4 linked regions of the Arabidopsis thaliana genome follow. The protein of the gene in region 2 interacts with the protein of the main gene of each other region in a pairwise test. Each region holds a gene or a part of one and is shown on either strand. Other genes may lie near its edges.

Region 1 (4,435 bases), on a different chromosome or scaffold from region 2:
CATAATAATAGTGCATGACAGTCTTAACAAAAAAACTCAACGCTATAAATAATTAATAAACGTTGACAAAACATAAAATAATTCCAAACCGAGTGCGTATCTAAAAAACGATAAACGTGGTCGTACGTTTAAGACTAAGTAATTTCACCAATTAAATTCCCGGAAAAAAAAAAACACAAAATTTATCAAAGAAAATTAAATACAAATCAACCTTAATTAATGTCAAGCTTTAACCCTAAGTGGAGATTTGAGTGCCCCACACTTCTCCTCGGATATGTGTTTCCGATTCACATGGCACTCACAAGACACAATCAATGTTTTTAGGTTCTTTGTCTACCAAAACACCAAGAACAAAATGGTTGTACTCCAATAATTTTGCTGTATTGGTTAAGATATTTATTTTCGTTTGGTATATAGAACAATCAACTAAAACATTTTTTGAAATACTTTGCCAATAATTTCAAATATCAAAAGTTAATTCGTTAAGGCCCGGTAAGGTTTTGTGTAACTTACACATGTAAAATAATGGGCCTCTTCAAATCTCAATTACCTACGCAACGACATCGTCTAGCTCAGTTGGTAGAGCGCAAGGCTCTTAACTTTGTGGACTTGTGGTCATTGGTTCGAGTTACATGGTGGGCGTTTTCTTTTATACACAATAATACAAAGTTTGGATCCTCAATTCATAGTTACAGTTACATCAAGAAGATAAATACTCTCACAAGGTAAATTTGACTACATCTCTAGCTAGAAGATACCTCAGTGAGTACTTTCTATGAGTGGCTATCTTGTCCTGAACCTTGTGAAGTTTGTTCGTCCTCTGTGTTACATGTCAGAATCTGTGCTTTCCCAGCTTCTTTCTCCCAATCTATCCTCGCAATAAAGATGAGCAATATCGAGAGACAGAGAGATATACCAACAAATAACCCGATCAAGAACCCTTGAAGCCCTTGTTTAGCCTTGAACGCCAAAGTTGCCCCTAAAGGCAAAGCCAATAGATAGAATCCACTAAGATTTGCATACATTCCAAGAGACGGTTTCGCTGTTCCGCGGACTATCTCTCCACAAACCATTAATGGGAAGTTTACAACTTCGATAACCGCCATTATCAGCATCATCTTCTTCACACCGTTTAAGATGAGTTGGTCATGGTGAGTATACAAAGACCCCCAAAAACCTCTAAATGCTATCATCACTAATGCTCCAATGCAGCCTGAAATAATACCCACAATGAGTGTAGTGTAAGCTGCTCTATAAGCTCCCTTAGGATTATTTGCGCCGAGCTCATTGGACACTCTTGTTGCCACACACGTGCCTAAAGAGAGCATCACCGCGTAAAGCAAGTAGTCGAAGTTGAAAACTATAATCAAGATTGATACAGCTTGCACCGGGTTTGGTAACCTCCCGGTTAAAAGGACCAAGATCTCGTAGCACCACCATTCAAGGCACACGGTGAGACAACATGGTCCACTAAGCTTGATCAGTGTGAGCCAGTCTTGAGCACTTTGGTTTAACCAGCCACCTTGTTTCCATTTGTTCTCTTTCATTCGCTCTACGACTATCACATATCCAGTTAGAAGAATCACAACAATAAAATCAGTTATCCAAACCGCCATTGCAACTCCTTCAATTCCTCTTGCTTTAGAGAGGACTATGTTGATGGGGATATGAAGAGAAGTGGCTGCAGCTGTTGTGAACATGATGGGAAGAGTAACACCTTGTGAGCTTAAATAAGCCTTAAGTGGACAAAGAAAAGAGAGGATTGGCAACTCTGGAAGAAGGTAGAGAAGATATTTCTTGGCTATGAAGGAAATATCTTCTCTTTGACCAAAACCAGTAAGGATCTTGTGAACATTGAGCCACAAGAAAGAAATTGGTACCGAAATCAAGAGTAGCAAGAGCACTGCCATAAAAAGGGTTTTATGAAGAAGCTTAAAGTTCTTGGCTCCGAAAGCTTGGCCACAAATAGGCTCCATTGCAGCAGAAATACCATACAAAACAGAAAAGCCAGTAACGTTTGCAAAGGAAAACCCTAATGAACCTCCGGCTAGGTTAAGCTCACCTTGACGGCCAAGAAACACAGATGTGGTGGTCATCTTACCGAACCACAACAAATTCATAACCACCAATGGCAAACCAATTCTCATCTGCAGCTTCAGCTCATGAACAATGCTCTGCATCAAGGTCTTTGAACAAAGCCCTTCAGAGACTTCTGGATCTAAAGACTCTGACTTTGATGTTTCTGACATTATTGTTAGTAGAAAATATGGATAATTTGGAACAGAGCAAAGAACTTTTAAGAGGTTTCAGCCAAATTTGCAGAGATAGTTGTTTGTTTGTTGATAAAGATGACAAAAAAAATTGTAAGTGGAAAATGGTTTTGTTGTTTGCGTGGAGGATTTTATAAGTAGGTAGATTAAAAGCATGAGTTCCGTGAGAGAGTGATGAGCTAAATAATATAAATGTTGAATCAATTTTCTCGAGGAAGCTTTTGTAACGGCCAATAAAAGCAGAGGATTAACAAGTTGGTGGGTTTCTATACCCTTAAGTGCATTAGTGATGATGAATCCATATCATTCCCATTTCCCACTTTTAATACAGTAATTTTATTTTATTTTTGAAAATGTGCAATTAACGAATATATATTTTTACATTAATATTATTTTCTTATCTTTTTTGGCTAAAATTCTTACATATTTTTTTTTCTGAAACTAAGCTAATATTAAATTAAAAAAAGTTGATATTACAAAATTTAACATTGGAAAAAAATGCTTGTAAAAAACTATTTAAATATAAAATGGACTTTCGTTACAGAGAACCAGAGTATGCACATAAGCTTTCGTGTAAAACATCGGATATTTGGTTGAGGAGCGAAATAGGGGAAAGCAAACGATAAACTTTCATGCAAGAAAAGTTTGACATCATTCAATATACCAAATTTGTGTGTGGTTGCCATTTTTCGATAACAAGTCTAAAGGGTTTTCAAACACCTCAATGGGACCTTAATCTCTTCTTCTTTTTTTCCTTTTGTCTAAAGGGGAAGTGTGTTATTGCATTTAACATAAATAACTTCCACCCTCATCATATTTAGGATTTCACTTAAGTAATTTTTTTGTAAACGAAGTTATATAGTCTTTCTGTAAGAAAAATAAAACAATGGTGGAAAACAAAGCTTGCTTATAATAGTAAATAGGCAGTTGGTAAATCATAATATAATCAGAATTTTCTTCTCACTAGCTAATACTGACAGAAATAGAATATAATAAAATTAGAATTAAGTATCCTAAAAAACTAAGAGATAGTTGAACACACAAATAGCATAGACAAAAGAAAAAATGTGTTTGAAAAAGATACGTGACCTTGGCTTTCTATTTTTCTTTCCAAAAAGCAACAAATAATTGCATAATGCATCATTTTCTAATGAAAATATTATGAATATAAAATACCAACTTTTTATAGGATGATTGGAGATATTTCAACTTTTATTTTTGTTGCTTCTTAAAAAGGAAGAGGACCCCAGAACAAAAATAAAAGGCACGATTGGTAAATTTTCATGAGATGATAAAGATTTGGGGATTTTCACTATTCCGGAATTAGGGATAAAAAGTGGTAGTTGGACAGAACCTTAAGAAGAAAAAAGCAGATAACAAAATTTAGGTTTGTCCACTTTGAGAATTGGAATCGATAATCCAATAAAATATGAGATAAGAAAAAATTCGGATAATGGGTCGGTCCGAACATCTAATTCACTATCTAACTTCTCATCAATTCGACTTAGTATCACCTACAAGATTGAAGATTCGAATAAGTTGGATAATTAAATATTACTCAAATGAATAATTTGGTACTCCATCCTATACCCGAACCATATTCGACCCATACGGCTAATTTTACCTTGTAAAGTGCTACTTCCCTTTTTATGCGAATCACTTTAGCTATAATTTTTTATTTAACAGAAATGATCATATTCTTGAAATAGTTAATGAGACTACATTAAAGAATGAAAAGAATGTGAAATGGAATATGGTATTAGGAATTTAGCATTCAACATATATTCTTACGTCGAATCATTTTGTTCTTTACATATAATCAGTTGCAACTTTACTGAAACATTTATTCAGAAGGATGATAAGAAATAAGTATGATTTCGGATCGGAAAAGTTTATTATTCGTTTATACTTTATATATAGCCCATACCGTAAGTCTTTAACTAGTTAATTCAATATTTTGAGAAACTTATTCGGGTCCAAATACATGGCCCATTTCTATCCCGGTCCATTACAGATTAAGAAACAAAACATGTAAATTACTAACTAACTAGTAGTATTGATTTACTACTACACTAGATAAAGCCCGCCTATTTAGGCGGGTGTACTCGAAATTTGTAAATACTCGAACGGGTCTAAACTTCAAAACCCGAACCCGAATAGGTATC
Region 2 (4,377 bases):
ATGAGGCTCAAACTCTGCTTCCACACCTTTAGCCAAAGAGATAATAACAGGAGCATTAACCCTCTCTTTCCAATACTTACTAATCTCATTGAACACCTGAAACGTCTCAGTTGATGGTAAACCATTGATGACAATATCAGCATCCCAAACAGCTTCTTGAAGATTAGTCACAACTTTCAAAGGACACAAAGGAGTCTCAATCATATTCAAGCAAAACCCATCTTTCAATATCTCATCAGCATATAAAACCCTATCCCCTAATCTAGCTTCCACATACTTGAGATAAGCACACCTTCTTATCAACCTCCTCAACAATTCTTCCCTCGAATTAATCACTTCGAACAAATGTTCAGCTGTGGCTTTATCGATTGCTCTGCCTCCTCTTCTCCAGATTCTCACACTAACTTTGCCCCTAAACTTACCGTAATTTTCCTGCAACATTGCAATGAAAACGCTTCCCCAAGCACCAGCTCCTACACCAACGATCCTTAACGGGTCGTCATCAGCTTTACCCATTACTCTACGAATCTCATCAAGCCTTTCTTCCACCAATCTGCTCGGAACTGAATTCGTCTCCACCAAATGATCCATCATCAACAAAGCCTTATGATTTCTCTTTCAGTGACTCAATCCACTAAAAACACAAGCAAGCTATGGAACAAAATCGGACTTCTTGTCGGATTTATCAATGCTTAAAACTGGAGACGACTTTTTCAGGAAAGTTTGTGTTTTTATTTTATTTTCAGGTAACTTGTACGACGACTAAGAAAATGATAGCTGGCTTTATCTATCTACTCTGGGCCCAACTAACTTAGTCTAGTGTCCACTTTTATAACCTTCTCTATAAGAGTTCGAATCCAGTTAAGGGATTTTGAGTACTTTTGACACGTCTTATTCAAAGCTTGATCACATTGTTATTCTCTTTGTTTTAGGGAAAAAAGGTTTTAAGGAATCACTATTTTCTCTATTGAAATGAAAACCTAGCTTGTGGAAAAGTTGTCTGTTAATAAAGAGAAAAAAAAGAATTATCATCACGAGAGGATTAGTTCTTGAACATGGGAGAAAGCAAATCTTCCAATGAACTACGATCTGTCTGTAAAAAGGTTTTAAGTAAAGATTCCCTGGTACATTTTAAGGCAAAATAAGTTCAAAGTCATAATAAACTCGATACTTTTAGACACGAGACATGCCGAGTTTGCGTTCAAACAAGCGACGCAGAAGATAAACTTGGAGAAAACTTGCCCCAATCAGTGCAAACGACTCGAACAAAGCTTTGTGTACTGCTCTTTTGCTCATGTTCTCGTTCACTGCACAAGGAACAACCATATTCAAACCATCACTCAATATTGAAGTGAGAACAACAAATGTGGTTTTTAGAGGAAAAAATGTTACCGATAGCTTGACGATCGGTCTGAGCTTCTAACCAATGTTGTTCAAATTGGATGTTGTAAAGAGCCTCCTCTAACTTTGATATTTGCTCCATCAAGGGAGTGAAATGCTCTGCACAAAAACCATCTTCAGCTAAATACCTCATCACCAAACGAAACTGAAACAAAACTAAACAGATAATCCTTACCGTCCTTTGCGTGTTGATCGTAGTATGCAAAGTGACCAAGCTGTACATCGAAGTCAATGGTTTCATGATAAGGAGACTTGTTTGTGAAACAGAATCTGTAAACCCCTTTTTTTTGGACAACAAAATCATGCTTTGCGCTTATCTGCTCCCTGAAGTCATGAATTTGTTCGCCTGTTGGGCCATGTATCTATTCAAAATGCATCCAAAATATATCAACAACAACAACAACCACCAAATTAACCAGATGGTACAATATAACAGCTTTAAAGAGTAACCAAATTCTTTATCAATACATACTTCAAATTATCTACCAACATTAACAATGGAAATCCTAAGCATTGTTTAGGAATACCAATTCTATTGATTTTCGACGATTTTGCAATGTAGAATGTAGAAAAGTTCAATTAGAAGAAAAAAAGTCATACCACAAGATCTACACCATCCTCGTTAAAATGCCATTGAGAGTCAGACTTGATGACGACGAAAGAGACATGAAGCGTATCACCTTCATATTCAGCCTTGTGGGAGAAACATTCTTCACGGTCTATCACGAATCTAATCCCTAACGTAGCCTGGAAGCTCCATAAGAGCCCTAGTAATACGATCGTACCCTTCAAGCTCATCTGCCACAATAATTTCGAATTATATCAAAGCACAAAACGCAATTCAATCGTTTAGAAGAAGAATCGACTAGAGATTCCAAACCAAACCAAATTGAATTGTTCCAATTTCGATTCCTACGAGGTGATTAGGTTTGACACAGAGAGTGAGAGGGATTTACCTTCTTGAGAAGATCAAATCTGATGATTGATTGATTAGATCGATGGAAACTCGATCTGGTCGATGAGTGTTAAGAAAATTTGAAGATTGATCGGAGTAGAAGACGGTGGAGAGAATTGGATGAGAAAGAGCGAGCTCGTTCAGAATCGGACACGAAGAAGCCTGTTTTGACTCAAGGGGCAGTTTCGTTACCCGACAAGATCATCAAACTATAAACGACGTCGCTTGCTTACTCTTTGGGTTATTTGGTCAGCGGGCTTACGTGGCGTTATATCATTGGAGATAAAACATCTTTAAACCATTTAGATATTGCCACGTCATATTATGTCGAAAATGGAAACTCCATAAAATCAGTACGTTTCATTAGGAAGACTTTATAGGTTTCTCGTTTTTTACTTTGCCACAGTGGAATGTTTACTTGCTTTGCTAAAGAAACAAATGTTCTGACGTGTACCATCAGATTATCTTGTTTGCGGTAACAAGGAGTGTGAGTTTTGGTACGGTTTTCGTTATGAGTTGTAGTCAGATATATTCTTAATTTTCAAATTATCTTTGTTTGTTGGATCGATTATTTCAGTTCGATTCGGATCAAATACGAAGAACATGTTTCTACCCTTACTCTCTCATGCGTTTCCTTAATTAATCAATTTAGGTTCAGGTTTTGAGTTTATAGAAAATGATCAAATTACATATATGGCTGGACCAATATATTCCTATACGAGTGAGACAGATCCAACCATGCCTACACCAACGTTCAATTTTTTTGTAATAAAAAACTACATTTTTGGTTGAAGCACAACGAGGCCTACCTTTGATCCATCTTAAAGCTGTTGAAATGTCCTCATTCAACATTCACTTGAAGAAGTTCCTAAGTCCACTGAAGAGCCGTAGAGCCTTCAGCTCACCACTTCTGATATCTCTCAGTCTCCTCCTCAGAATCTGACCCAAACAAAACAAAAAAAAAAACACAGATTCCACAATATCATGGATCGATCCACAGACTCTTATCTATCGTATTGGCTAGAAAGTTGTTCCTTACGTATTGAGCACGGTACAGTATCCTGCGCTCACTAGTGGACAAGTCTACAGCTAGCTGTTTCAGAAACGCTTTTCGGTTCAACTGTTTTGGAGATGTTATGTCCAAATCCATTGATCCACTTTCCTACAATTAGATAATTGACAAAGCAAACTATAAGCAGATGGAGTGAAAATTTTCCCACAAAGAGAGAGAGATGAGCTGTTTTGTTACTTACCTTTAGAAATCGGCTGTACTTTGATATGCTTGTTTCGCATGAGTCCAGTATGAACTGCAATGCGTCTTCCTCGATTTCAGGATATTTTAGATCATTCTTTGTTGATGTCTTATTTGAAGCAGCTTTCGCCATCTGAAATGGATAATAATTGATAAGAGATGTATTATGAATTTGGGAAGAATTGGATGGTAAAAAGGGTCAAGATGGAGTTGCCAAACCTCTTCAAAGTTGTTTCTCATATCTGGAGGGCTCACCACAAGATAAGCATATGCCATTAGCTCCATTGGCCAACCCGTTATCCTTACGGGAAAGCATTGAGGTCTGCCAGAGAAAAGTTAACACAAACAATCAAAACAAAACTCAAGTTAATCAAGAGAGATCTACAAATTTGAGAGGGGAACATGGATGGTGGAGAATGGAATACGTCGATAATCCGTGTTTCTTTAAAGCATCCAGCTTTTCCTCGTAACACTTATCGTTTTTCCTAAGTGATAATGCTAGTTCTACTGAATCACTAGGATTGGTTCCTTCTCTGGGAACAAACCCATAAGATAACAATAGCTCTCCGTTAGATTTATTCCCATAGGATATGAAAACCTGCACAATGTCATGTTACTGAAACATATCAGAGACTTCAGACAACATTGGTTCCACTTTGGACTGACTTACTGAAGCGCTAAAAGGCAAACTGTGTAAACGGGACTTCTTTGTGTTATACACTGACTTATATTAAACTTCAATGCTCGCTCAGGTTATCTGAATGAATTT
Region 3 (5,237 bases), on a different chromosome or scaffold from region 2:
AGATTACACCTGTGTGAAGTATTTGCCATCTCTTTTGTCTGCTTCAGCTGTATTTCTTGCCCGGTTCATCATCCGTCCAAAACAACATCCTTGGGTAAGCAAATTAAGAACCATGACAGGTTCTTATACAGAAAAAGTTCTTTATATTCTAAATCCTCTTCTGGTGATGCAAACAGAATCAAATGCTAGAAGAATACACAAAGTACAAAGCAGCTGATCTACAAGTGTGCGTGGGTATCATACATGACTTGTATCTAAGCAGAAGAGGAAACACTCTAGAAGCTGTTAGAAATAAGTACAAGCAACACAAGGTAAATTCAACAATTCAATGATGTAACTTTAAACTTGTGATATATTGCAACAAGAACATTCTAATATCTGATTCTCTTGGTACAGTACAAGTGCGTTGCGACCATGCCTGTTTCACCGGAGCTACCTCTTGCTTTCTTTGAAGATATTACCATTAGAGGAATGGCGTAAAAGAAGCTTGAAGCTTATGTATTGGAAGTGTTAGTTACCTGAATTTTGGGTTGTATATATCTGTTAGAATGGCAGATTAGTATTGAGTATTATCTCTTTTAGCGTATGTTCAATGATTTTTGCTAACACTAGTTAAGAAACTTTTTTTTTTTTGCTTGACCATTTTTTCAATGGTTTATTAGATTTTTATTGATTTGTTTTCTGCTTTTTTCTATGATGTAAAAGCCTCTTTAAATCATATTGGAATGTGCACATCCTCTTAACAAAAACAAAAAAGTACAACAAAGACTTTGCCACTACATATTTGTGATGTTAACATTCACAAAAAGCTAAGCTAACTCTTATCACCACTTTGGCGTTTCAATATGTATAAGACTATAGTGGATGAAGTTTGTTTACTGTATCTTCTTGACATGTAACAAATGGTCTTGAGGGCAGTTATTTTTGTGCAGCTACTAGCTATTGGAGACGGACACTCTTTTGGGAAGTTCTATGGAAGAGGATGACCAAGGAGAAGGAAAAAAGTTGCTGTGTGAAATGAGGTACACTATAAAGGCGATATAAGCAGTCGTCCAGACGCAGACCGTAACTCCAAACAGAAACCCGTCGACTTCTGATACAAAGAAATCCAACAGAAGATACCCATTGATGATCATTACAAGTGCAGCCACAGTCCAAGCTATTCTCTGCAATGTAATCAATAAATCCAATCAACTTACAAATACTCACTCTTCATGCTTCTCTATTCCATTGAAGGACTTTCAATTCTACATGTTTACTAAGATAATTGCACAAACAGTGAAACTAAAAAAGTCGAGACACCTAAAACGATAAGACTCAACACTAATTCACCTATTGTGGTATCCTATGGAGACTTGTAGTAAAAGAAGTGGAAATTTACCTGGAGAATAGGCCCAATCTTGAAGTCTCCCATAATTTCTTCTTTGGATACCAAGGTTAGAAGAGGGAGAAGAGCAAAAGGAATTTGTACAGACTGAAGGACATTGAGCCATTCATTCAAAACATCCAAGGAAGCTTCAGAAGTATTGAACACGATTGCCACAATCATTGTAGGCACAATAGCACAGCTTCTTGTTATTACTGCCCTCATCCATTTCTTAAGCCGGAGATTCAGAAAACCGCCCATTATAAACTGTCCAGCATATGTACCAGTTATCGTACTGCTTTGTCCGGCTGCTAACAACCCGATACCCCAGATATAAAGAATCGGAAGAAGCCCGCCTCCAAACTTTTCTTGAAGATACTGACCAGCATTAACTAGGCCAATGTTATTAGCTTTCTCAGTTCCATAAAACCCCTTTGCAAAGACAGTAGTCACAAACAAGTTAATCATGAAGGAGATGAAAAGTGCGACGGATGACTCGATCAAATAGTAATTAAGCGCTTCTTGAACCCGGGATTTCCTCTTCGGATCGATTTTCCTCGATTGTACAAGAGCCGAATGCAAAAACACATTGTGAGGCATTATAACACAGCCAACAACACCTACAGCTTGCCTAATTGTCTTTGAGCTAAGTCTCGGTAGTAAAATACCTATCCATAAACACAAAGATTTGATTTTTAAGCACTCAAATCAAAGCAAATAAAGTGAAATTCAAGAGTAAAAATCTGAAATCTTTACCTATCATAAGTTCTTTCCCACTCGGTTTTGTTTCACCAAACATCCAAGCAAAGGACAAACCCATAGTTGCGATCAAAACTGCAAAAACAGCTTCTAACTTCCTCACACCGTAATTCTCTAGAAACAAAAATAAAAAACTGTTTGCAACAAATTCATTAGCCAAGTTTTCAAAATACAAAAAAGCAAGTTTCTTAATTTCAGATTCGATCACAAATCGTTAAACCAATTCTCTACTGATTTGTGAGTTTGGATCATCTTAGCAAAGTTTTACAAGAAAACAGCCAAAGTAAAAGCAAATTCTCAACTTCAGATTGAATCATGAATCTCTAAACCAAGTTTCTACTGATTTGTGAGTTCGAATGATCCATACTCAAACTCAATACCGCTAAGATGATCCGCAAAGTTTTAAAATTTCAGAATGAATCATAAGATTCTCCAAACCAAGTCTCTACTAATTCTACGAATCCAACATCTCTAAAGAACGAATAGAGTATCGAAAGGACTCACCAATCGGAAGCAGTAATAACAACACCAGCCCAAAGAGGCAAGAAGCCACGGCTAAGAATCTGAATAGCAATAGCACTACCAATAACCTCTTGAATATCAGCACCAATCAAAGCAAGTTCCGCCATAGACCAAAGCACATACCTAGCCCAAGTAGGATACTCATCACGACAAAGCTCAGCTAAATGACGACCAGTAGCTACACCGACTCTAGCTGACAACATCTGAATCAACAACCCCATAGCTGTTGCCCACATTAGTAGCCACAACAGAGAATAGCCAGCGATTGCACCAGCTTGTAGATCTCCTTCTAGATTCCCTGGATCCAAAAACGCTATACTCATTAAGAAACCTGGACCGGTGAATAACCAGAGCTTCCGCCATGAGAATGGCGGTGGTGTGTCTCCGGTTGTTGGATCGTCGGGTGATTCGAAATCGACGATTAGGATCTTTTCGTTTGTTTCGAAAGCCGCTTCGGATTCGGAATCGGTGGATGGGAGAGATTGTGAAGGAGGAGGAGGAGGAAGAAGACGGTCTTCCTCTTCTTCGAGATTCTCTTTGACGTCGTTTTCCATGGAGGAAGAGGGAATATTCGGTGAGGGTTAAATCGGAATATTCTGTCGGTGGTGGTGGTGGTGTCGTCGACGTACCTGAATTTTGAATTGGAGGGATAAAAGAAGAAGAAGACGCAGGCACTTAATCAGATGCTTTTTAAAAAAGAGATTAATGCGTTTCTTTTTCGTAACTTTTTGGTACCAGATTCAACTTTATTATATTAATGCCTAAAAAAGAAGAAAAACTTTATGTTATAAATTTGCTTTGAAATTATGTATTTAGTGTAGTGTTGCCATAGTTGTATTGTCACAAATTTGAATAAAGCTTTGCTTTTTAATGACGTTAATTGAATACAAGGTAGTGAATAAAGTGTGTGTTTTATACATTTTTAGATCCATTGCTTGATCTATCTCTTCCTCTCTTTTATAGATCACAATGTGTGAAACTAAATATCCCACACCAAAAGTTTATTGAGTTTCCAATATAAGATTCATGATTAGTTTTTTAGAGCTTCATGAATAGCATAGTTGATATGATTGTATTACTCACATTCCAAAAATTTATGAGCAGAAACTCAACCATTGATAAAATGTTTTTTTTTTTTTGATGCGATGCAAATTATGAAAATTTAACCTCCTCATCCGAAAGTCTTTTAACTAGAACTCAGTTTTAATCTCATCAGAAATTACTGGTTTACATTCAATAAGCTTACTAAATTTTTTTGCTGAATTTTCCAAAGTGAACAAATCATGAGGATTTTTAGTTAAGTGAATATTTAGTGACTATTTTTCTTTTTTTCTTTTTTTTTTGTATCATGAGGATATTTAGTGACTAGTATTTTTGTCAATCCCTTCATGTGTGTTTTCATCACTCATTATTTAAATCATAAAAACATGTTATTCGTTTTTTTTGTGTGTTTCAACTTTCAAGCATGAACATAATTAGTATTTCTACTGTACCTTCTTTTACCATATTTCAATGAGTATCTACATAAAATAGCCATGGATTCAAAAAAAATTAAGAGAATAGCCATGAGCTACAGGGGTAAGTCGGAAACACATGTAATTTTACATGTATAACCTTAGACATCAAAGCGACAAGACACTGTTTGGGGAGCGTATGATTCTGGGTTTGAAATTTGAATTCTATTGCATTATTCGGCCCAAGTTTGTCTCACGACCAAAGTAATAACCCTAAAATTAAAAAAAAAAAAAAAAAAAAAAATTTTTCTCACCGAAAAAACCTCTCTCGGCGGCGATTAATTTCATCGTCGTTGCTCTCATCTTTTCGATCCAAGTAGTAGTTGTTTCTAGAAATTGATTGTGTTTCCGATTATCCTTTTCAAATCGTCTTCTCGTTGCAGTCGCCGGTGACAATCGAAGGATTAATTTTTGGTCTTCCCTCGCCGACGATTTGGGTAAGTAGAACCACTGATTTCCGATTATTTACAGTTGCTCTTCTTATTTCTCTTCCCCTATACCTTTAATTGCATGTCAATCATCGCTTGTGTCTAGATCTAAAGTTCGGTTCGTTGTTAACTAACCCTAATTTTGTTTCGTGTACTGTTGATGAATGAAAGTTAGGCGACCATCGAGAGTTTGCGGCTAAAGTCTCTGTTTTTTTTTTGGGAATCCTTCTGTGCTTTTTTGGAAAACACATGAGGTTTGTAAATATTGATGTGCTTTGTTTGAATAACCCACGAGGTTTGTAGATATTGCGTCCTTTATCTGTGTTTCTTACATGCAACTAACCCATTTTTTGTCTCTTACTATTCACGAAAGAAGATTAGGCGATATCGGAGGCTTTTGTGGCTGACGCTGTGGGTTTTGTTTGAAAAACACTTGAGGTTTGTAAATATTGTCTTTTGATCTGTTCTCTTTTATACTATACTAACCCAAATTTTGAACGTCTTACGTTCCATGACTGCAGATTCGGCGATATCGAGGATTTTGAACGTCTTACGTTCCATTCATTTTCGTTTATTTATCGCCGATCTTCTTCTATTTCTTCCCCTTTATACTTCAATTGCATAGAAAATAACGATTGTGGCCAGATC
Region 4 (5,012 bases), on a different chromosome or scaffold from region 2:
TCAGATGACAATGGCTATGCAAAAGCAGAACGAGAGACGATGCATCGACAAACAAAACTCAGATTCACAAGAGTTTAACCAGAAGCTAAAAAACTCCTTGACGGAGATGCAATCCAACCTCACTGGAAGTGTCATCTTCTACGGCGATATCTACGGAGCATTGTTCGACATGGCCACTAATCCTCAAAGATACGGTAACGTTACGTTTCCTTTACTCCCATGCAAATAACGTTTCGCACTAAATCTAGTTTTCCTTGAGTTTTGATCAATTGCATCTCTTTCTAGATTATATTGTATTTGGAAAAAATATATTTGAGGTTGTTATATTGGATCATTTAAAAAAGATATTGCATAAATGCAAAATAAGAAAAAAGAAATCAATCAAACCCAAAGCATAATCCAATTTTCTCCGCACAATTCTCTCATATTAGTATATATCACATACGTGTGAAGTGCATGTATTTTACAGGATTTTTACTGATAATTTTTTTTACAGGTTTTGAAATTATAGTTTGTTATAAGAGAACATTCAAGACTATAAAATATTTCATTTTATTACAAAGCTAAGTAGTTATCAATGTTATTCCTTTGAATGGGACAGGGTTAAAGGAGACGACGAGAGGATGTTGCGGGACTGGAGAAATAGAGTTAGCGTACTTGTGCAATGCTTTAACTCGGATTTGTCCTAACCCTAACCAGTACCTTTTCTGGGACGATATTCATCCTTCCCAAATTGCTTACATAGTCATCAGTCTCAGTCTTGTTGAACAAATTTTCCACGTACTCTCTTGATTTTCATTTTGCTTTCATATATATTAATTAATCTGTAGTCAATCTATAATTATTTCCCTGTGGGTTCACATAATCTTTCGTATTTGCTTAAGCTAGGTTTTACATGTATACTATTATGATATTATACTACTCTATCCTGGTAAGTTGTAACTCTATAGCACAATGCTCGTAAGTCCGTTTTGAAACCCAAACGAATTATATTTTAACCTTAAGGAAATTTCTTACATCAAAAAAGCAATACATGAACAAATCAATGTCGAAAAGGTGATTCCACCGATCCATGAACATTATTCACCCAAGAAAGATAAAAAAACACAGAATGATTCACAATTTTACAAAAAAATTCAATTAATAAGAATTTTTTAATTTCTTTTCATATCTAATTTAATCAACTTGAGCTTTCCTTGAACAACCGTTTGATTATAAACTCCACATCTTCAACAGTATACGGAATAAACGGCTCTCCACGCCTCCCATTAATCTCCGGTGACTCCTTCAATCTTCTGATGAAATTCGAGTACGCCGGAGATACAATTCCGGCAACAGAGCTTCTTAACTCCTCCCTCAATTGCCCATCACTAACAACCCATTGAGATTGCACCTTACACACCTCATCGAACTGTGATTTGAACAATCTTAGGTTCTCTACTAACTTGGGATACGGACCATCGGTCCTAAGCAATCCCACCACTTGGTTCCATGAGCTCCTTCGGTAATTAGAATGGTATTGCCTCAGTTTCGCTGCGTGCTTCACAATCCAATCTTCTCCTAGGACTAAACCTAGCTCGTTATCCTTAGCCTTATCAAGAATATACTTGTCATTGTTCATCATGAACAAGAAACACAAAGACGGATCACGATAAGTTCTTTTCTTGCCTTCCAAGTTACTCTCCAACAACTCCAAAACCCATATGATTTGCACAGACAACGGTCTCGTATCTGATCCGGTTTCATTTCCTGTCTGGTCAAGTATCTGCTCCAACGATTGCCGCGATTTACACGCCGCACGCAGATAATTCATCACGTACCGCGTGATCGGGTGAATCCCACCGCCAGGAAACGCTGTTTTGGGAGGGTCACGTCGGATTAAATTCTCCAGCTCCATAAATATCCCTCTAATCGCTTCTCCTAACCGTTTATGAATCGCGAGCGCCTCATGCCTTAGCGGCGAACAATATCGATCAGAAAATAGCGTTTCCATCTTAGGAATAAGGTCTTGCATCGCTTCGTATAAATCCACAACCTTAAACAAACGTTCAGGTAAACGGCTTCCTAAAGCGATCGCGTCTGCGAAATTCAGAAGCTGTGTTGTGGTTCCGCGACAAACTTCCATGAAAGAAAGATCGGTTACAGAGGAAACAGGAAGATCAGAGAAAACGCGATCGCAGAGAAGACGCTCGCTCGGGAAGAAAACGTGGAATATCAGCGTTACGGCTTTAATCCAACGGTCGATTTCGTCTTCAAGATCTTGCCATGGACTCTCTTGCACTTCCTCCATACTTAGTCCTCTGAGATGTAACCTCGACAAACTCTCCTCTAGAAACTCTCTTCGTCGACTGCTGTACACTCTTGAACACTCTTTTGCAAATCCACCAGCGACCATGCGCACAGCGATCGCGTTTAGATCGCCAATAACGCTAGATTGTAACGCCTCGATCACGATTTTGTAATCAGTGATTGGACGAGCAACGATTACCTATTCAATTGTGAATCACTTAACCACAATATAACCGATAGTAAACCGAATTTTCTAATTCTAATTCCAAAACTAATTTAGTAATAAATTTACAGATGAATTAATTACCCCGTCGCTTGTGTCGTTGTCTTCTTCGCCGGGGAACTCATCGTCCGAGTCAAACGAGTCAGGGGCTCGGTCCATTACAAATCCAAACTCTTCTTGAAGCCTAAACATCACCTGTTGAATCAGCTCATCGGCACGGGATTGACAGACGGCGACGGATTTATCTCCGGCCATGGATCTCAAGTCTCCGGCAATCGCAAGTAGCTCATCAACAGAGTCGAGGAAGGTGCGCGAGTCAACGGGATCAGACCAGATCGGTCGATCTTCCACGATGTAGCTGGAGATCTGTCTCTCTAAAGAGGTGAGGGCTCGGTCAAAGTTGACGTTTGAGCCGCCGCGGGATGGGGTGGGTCGAGGATCTCCGCCGCGGTTTCCGGAAGCGCCATAACCGGAGAGAATCTGTAAGATATCTCCGGCGGCACTTGGATCCTTGCCGAGAGCTCTGGCGATGTCTCTGGCGGCGGCGTAAAGATTCTCGTCACCGGCTTCAGCCATATGATTGGATGGGAATTAATAATGTTCGGGGAAATTACGGAATTGGTGGAATTGGGAGAATAAAGACGAAAATCCATAGACGAAGACTATAATATTGACAAAGTCTTCGGAGATTAAACGCGGGAACCATGTCTGACTTAGTTGTGTGCTTCTGTTTGTATTTTAATGGAATCTGTAATTTCTTAGTGCCACGACCACGACTTTGTCTTCGTTTCGATTTTTCTCTTTTGGTTCTGTCTGGTTTGATGTTTACAGAACGTGAACGCAATTTAACAACCGCGTTGTGCGTTTGGTCATCATGGAAATTGGTTATGGGCCGATGACTTCGTTACGTTGAATTTTCGGCGTCCAGTACACTTGGGCTTTAGATGGCCCAATGGACATATTATTCATTTTTGGGATCGATAAGTTTGATAAGGTTGAGAGGCCCAATTTTTGTCTTTGTGGTTATCTTTTATTTTATTAAAAACAGAAAAACCAAAAATTGAGAGGAAAAACCTCAGCCAGTAGATAGATAAAAGGGATTTGATTACTGAGCATGCAATTGGAGACAAGTCACACAAATTATAGACCAGACGAACACAAATGTTAAGTGATTTCATCAAAGCTCTGGTGGATCATTGCTTCTCCACCACCAATACCAATGGCTTCCCTTTACCTCAATTCCTTACTTCCACTTCCTCCTTCTCACCCCCAGAAACTTTTAGAACCTTCTTCTTCCTCTTTGTTGAGCACTTCTAATGGTAACGAACTTGCTCTGAAGCCGATTGTCATCAATGGAGATCCACCCACTTTCGTCTCTGCTCCTGCTCGTCGTATCGTTGCAGGTTCGCCACCATTAATCTGAAAAGTTTCAATCTTTTTGATAATTTGACAACAAAATTGAGTAGGTTTTGGTTTTGGATATGCACTCACAGTTGGAGACCTTCATGGCGATCTGGGTAAAGCCAGAGACGCACTTCAGTTGGCTGGCGTCTTGAGCTCCGACGGACGAGACCAGTGGGTCGGCCAAGACACCGTATGTACATTATCTCTTAGTGGTTCAGTATCGTGTTAAATGGTTTGCTTGATGATATTATTGACAGTATCTGCTAGAGTTCAACATTACGCATCTTGAGGTTCATTATGATGACTGATTCTTTTGAGTTAAATGCTTATGAGTTGTGAAATCATAATGAAAATACAGGTACTAGTTCAGGTAGGAGATATACTTGATCGCGGTGATGATGAAATCGCAATACTCTCCTTATTGAGGTCACTTGATGATCAGGCCAAGGCTAATGGTGGAGCTGTTTTCCAGGTTTTTGATTGCTATCATACTTGAATTTCATAAGTAAATTTTACACAGAGAAGCTTTTGCACTCTACACATTTTAATTTGCTAGTTCTAGAATGATGATAATTGATAGGACTAACAAAGAGTAACTTCTTGTCACATTTTAAAGGTTAATGGGAACCACGAGACAATGAATGTTGAAGGGGATTTCAGATATGTAGATGCGAGAGCATTTGATGAGTGTACTGATTTTCTTGACTACTTGGAGGACTATGCACAAGACTGGGACAAAGCGTTTAGGAATTGGATTTTTGAGTCAAGACAATGGAAAGAAGATAGGAGGAGTTCTCAAACCTATTGGGATCAATGGAATGTAGTAAAGGTACTTCATTTTGCCTTGTCCTCTCTGAGTTTTCTTAGTTTTTGTATTCGTTGGTTAACCAAAAGTCGGTGGGAAAACCATTAGGACAGAGGCAAAAGGGAGTAATTGCAAGGTCGGTCCTTCTCAGACCAGGTGGTCGTTTAGCATGTGAATTGTCGCGTCACGGAGTTATTCTCCGTGTTAATAACTGGCTCTTCTGCCACGGTGGTCTCCTTCCTCACCATGGTAAGGACAGTCAAATCTATCTCAACATTTCCTCTCGGTGAT

Evidence for each region.
Region 1: the proteins of p24beta2 (region 2) and AT4G22790 interact in a protein complementation assay, tested with the Arabidopsis thaliana proteins (one large-scale study listed by BioGRID).
Region 3: the proteins of p24beta2 (region 2) and NRAMP2 interact in a protein complementation assay, tested with the Arabidopsis thaliana proteins (one large-scale study listed by BioGRID).
Region 4: the proteins of p24beta2 (region 2) and EXO70B2 interact in a protein complementation assay, tested with the Arabidopsis thaliana proteins (one large-scale study listed by BioGRID).

The regions. Positions count from the first base shown.
Region 1 is NC_003075.7:11,974,380-11,978,814, forward strand, and holds AT4G22790 (MATE efflux family protein), read right to left. Parts: upstream 2,370-4,435; 5' UTR 2,250-2,369; coding exon 774-2,249; 3' UTR 652-773; downstream 1-651. UniProt on the Arabidopsis thaliana protein: Could function as a HCO(3)(-) -sensing component in the CO(2) signaling pathway in guard cells. Acts as an upstream repressor of HT1. Plays a role in stomatal response to CO(2).
Region 2 is NC_003074.8:2,453,449-2,457,825, reverse strand, and holds p24beta2 (emp24/gp25L/p24 family/GOLD family protein), read right to left. Parts: upstream 2,588-4,377; 5' UTR 2,358-2,587; intron 2,200-2,357; coding exon 2,002-2,199; intron 1,764-2,001; coding exon 1,577-1,763; intron 1,501-1,576; coding exon 1,393-1,500; intron 1,308-1,392; coding exon 1,174-1,307; 3' UTR 908-1,173; downstream 1-907. Other genes in the region: AT3G07690 (6-phosphogluconate dehydrogenase family protein), read right to left, coding at 1-594; AT3G07670 (Rubisco methyltransferase family protein), read right to left, coding at 3,209-3,295, 3,396-3,518, 3,610-3,741, 3,828-3,930, 4,034-4,206. UniProt on the Arabidopsis thaliana protein: Involved in vesicular protein trafficking. Mainly functions in the early secretory pathway but also in post-Golgi membranes.
Region 3 is NC_003070.9:17,308,108-17,313,344, forward strand, and holds NRAMP2 (NRAMP metal ion transporter 2), read right to left. Parts: upstream 3,399-5,237; 5' UTR 3,202-3,398; coding exon 2,630-3,201; intron 2,260-2,629; coding exon 2,123-2,259; intron 2,035-2,122; coding exon 1,382-2,034; intron 1,167-1,381; coding exon 936-1,166; 3' UTR 696-935; downstream 1-695. Other genes in the region: CYCA3;4 (CYCLIN A3;4), read left to right, coding at 1-94, 177-311, 397-480. UniProt on the Arabidopsis thaliana protein: Seems to be involved in iron uptake.
Region 4 is NC_003070.9:2,149,218-2,154,229, forward strand, and holds EXO70B2 (exocyst subunit exo70 family protein B2), read right to left. Parts: upstream 3,325-5,012; 5' UTR 3,089-3,324; coding exon 2,597-3,088; intron 2,489-2,596; coding exon 1,181-2,488; 3' UTR 941-1,180; downstream 1-940. Other genes in the region: AT1G06990 (GDSL-like Lipase/Acylhydrolase superfamily protein), read left to right, coding at 1-194, 602-792; SLP1 (Calcineurin-like metallo-phosphoesterase superfamily protein), read left to right, coding at 3,732-3,915, 3,979-4,091, 4,174-4,206, 4,287-4,388, 4,533-4,745, 4,835-4,970. UniProt on the Arabidopsis thaliana protein: Component of an exocyst subcomplex specifically involved in autophagy-related, Golgi-independent membrane traffic to the vacuole. Regulates autophagosome formation and autophagy-related Golgi-independent import into the vacuole.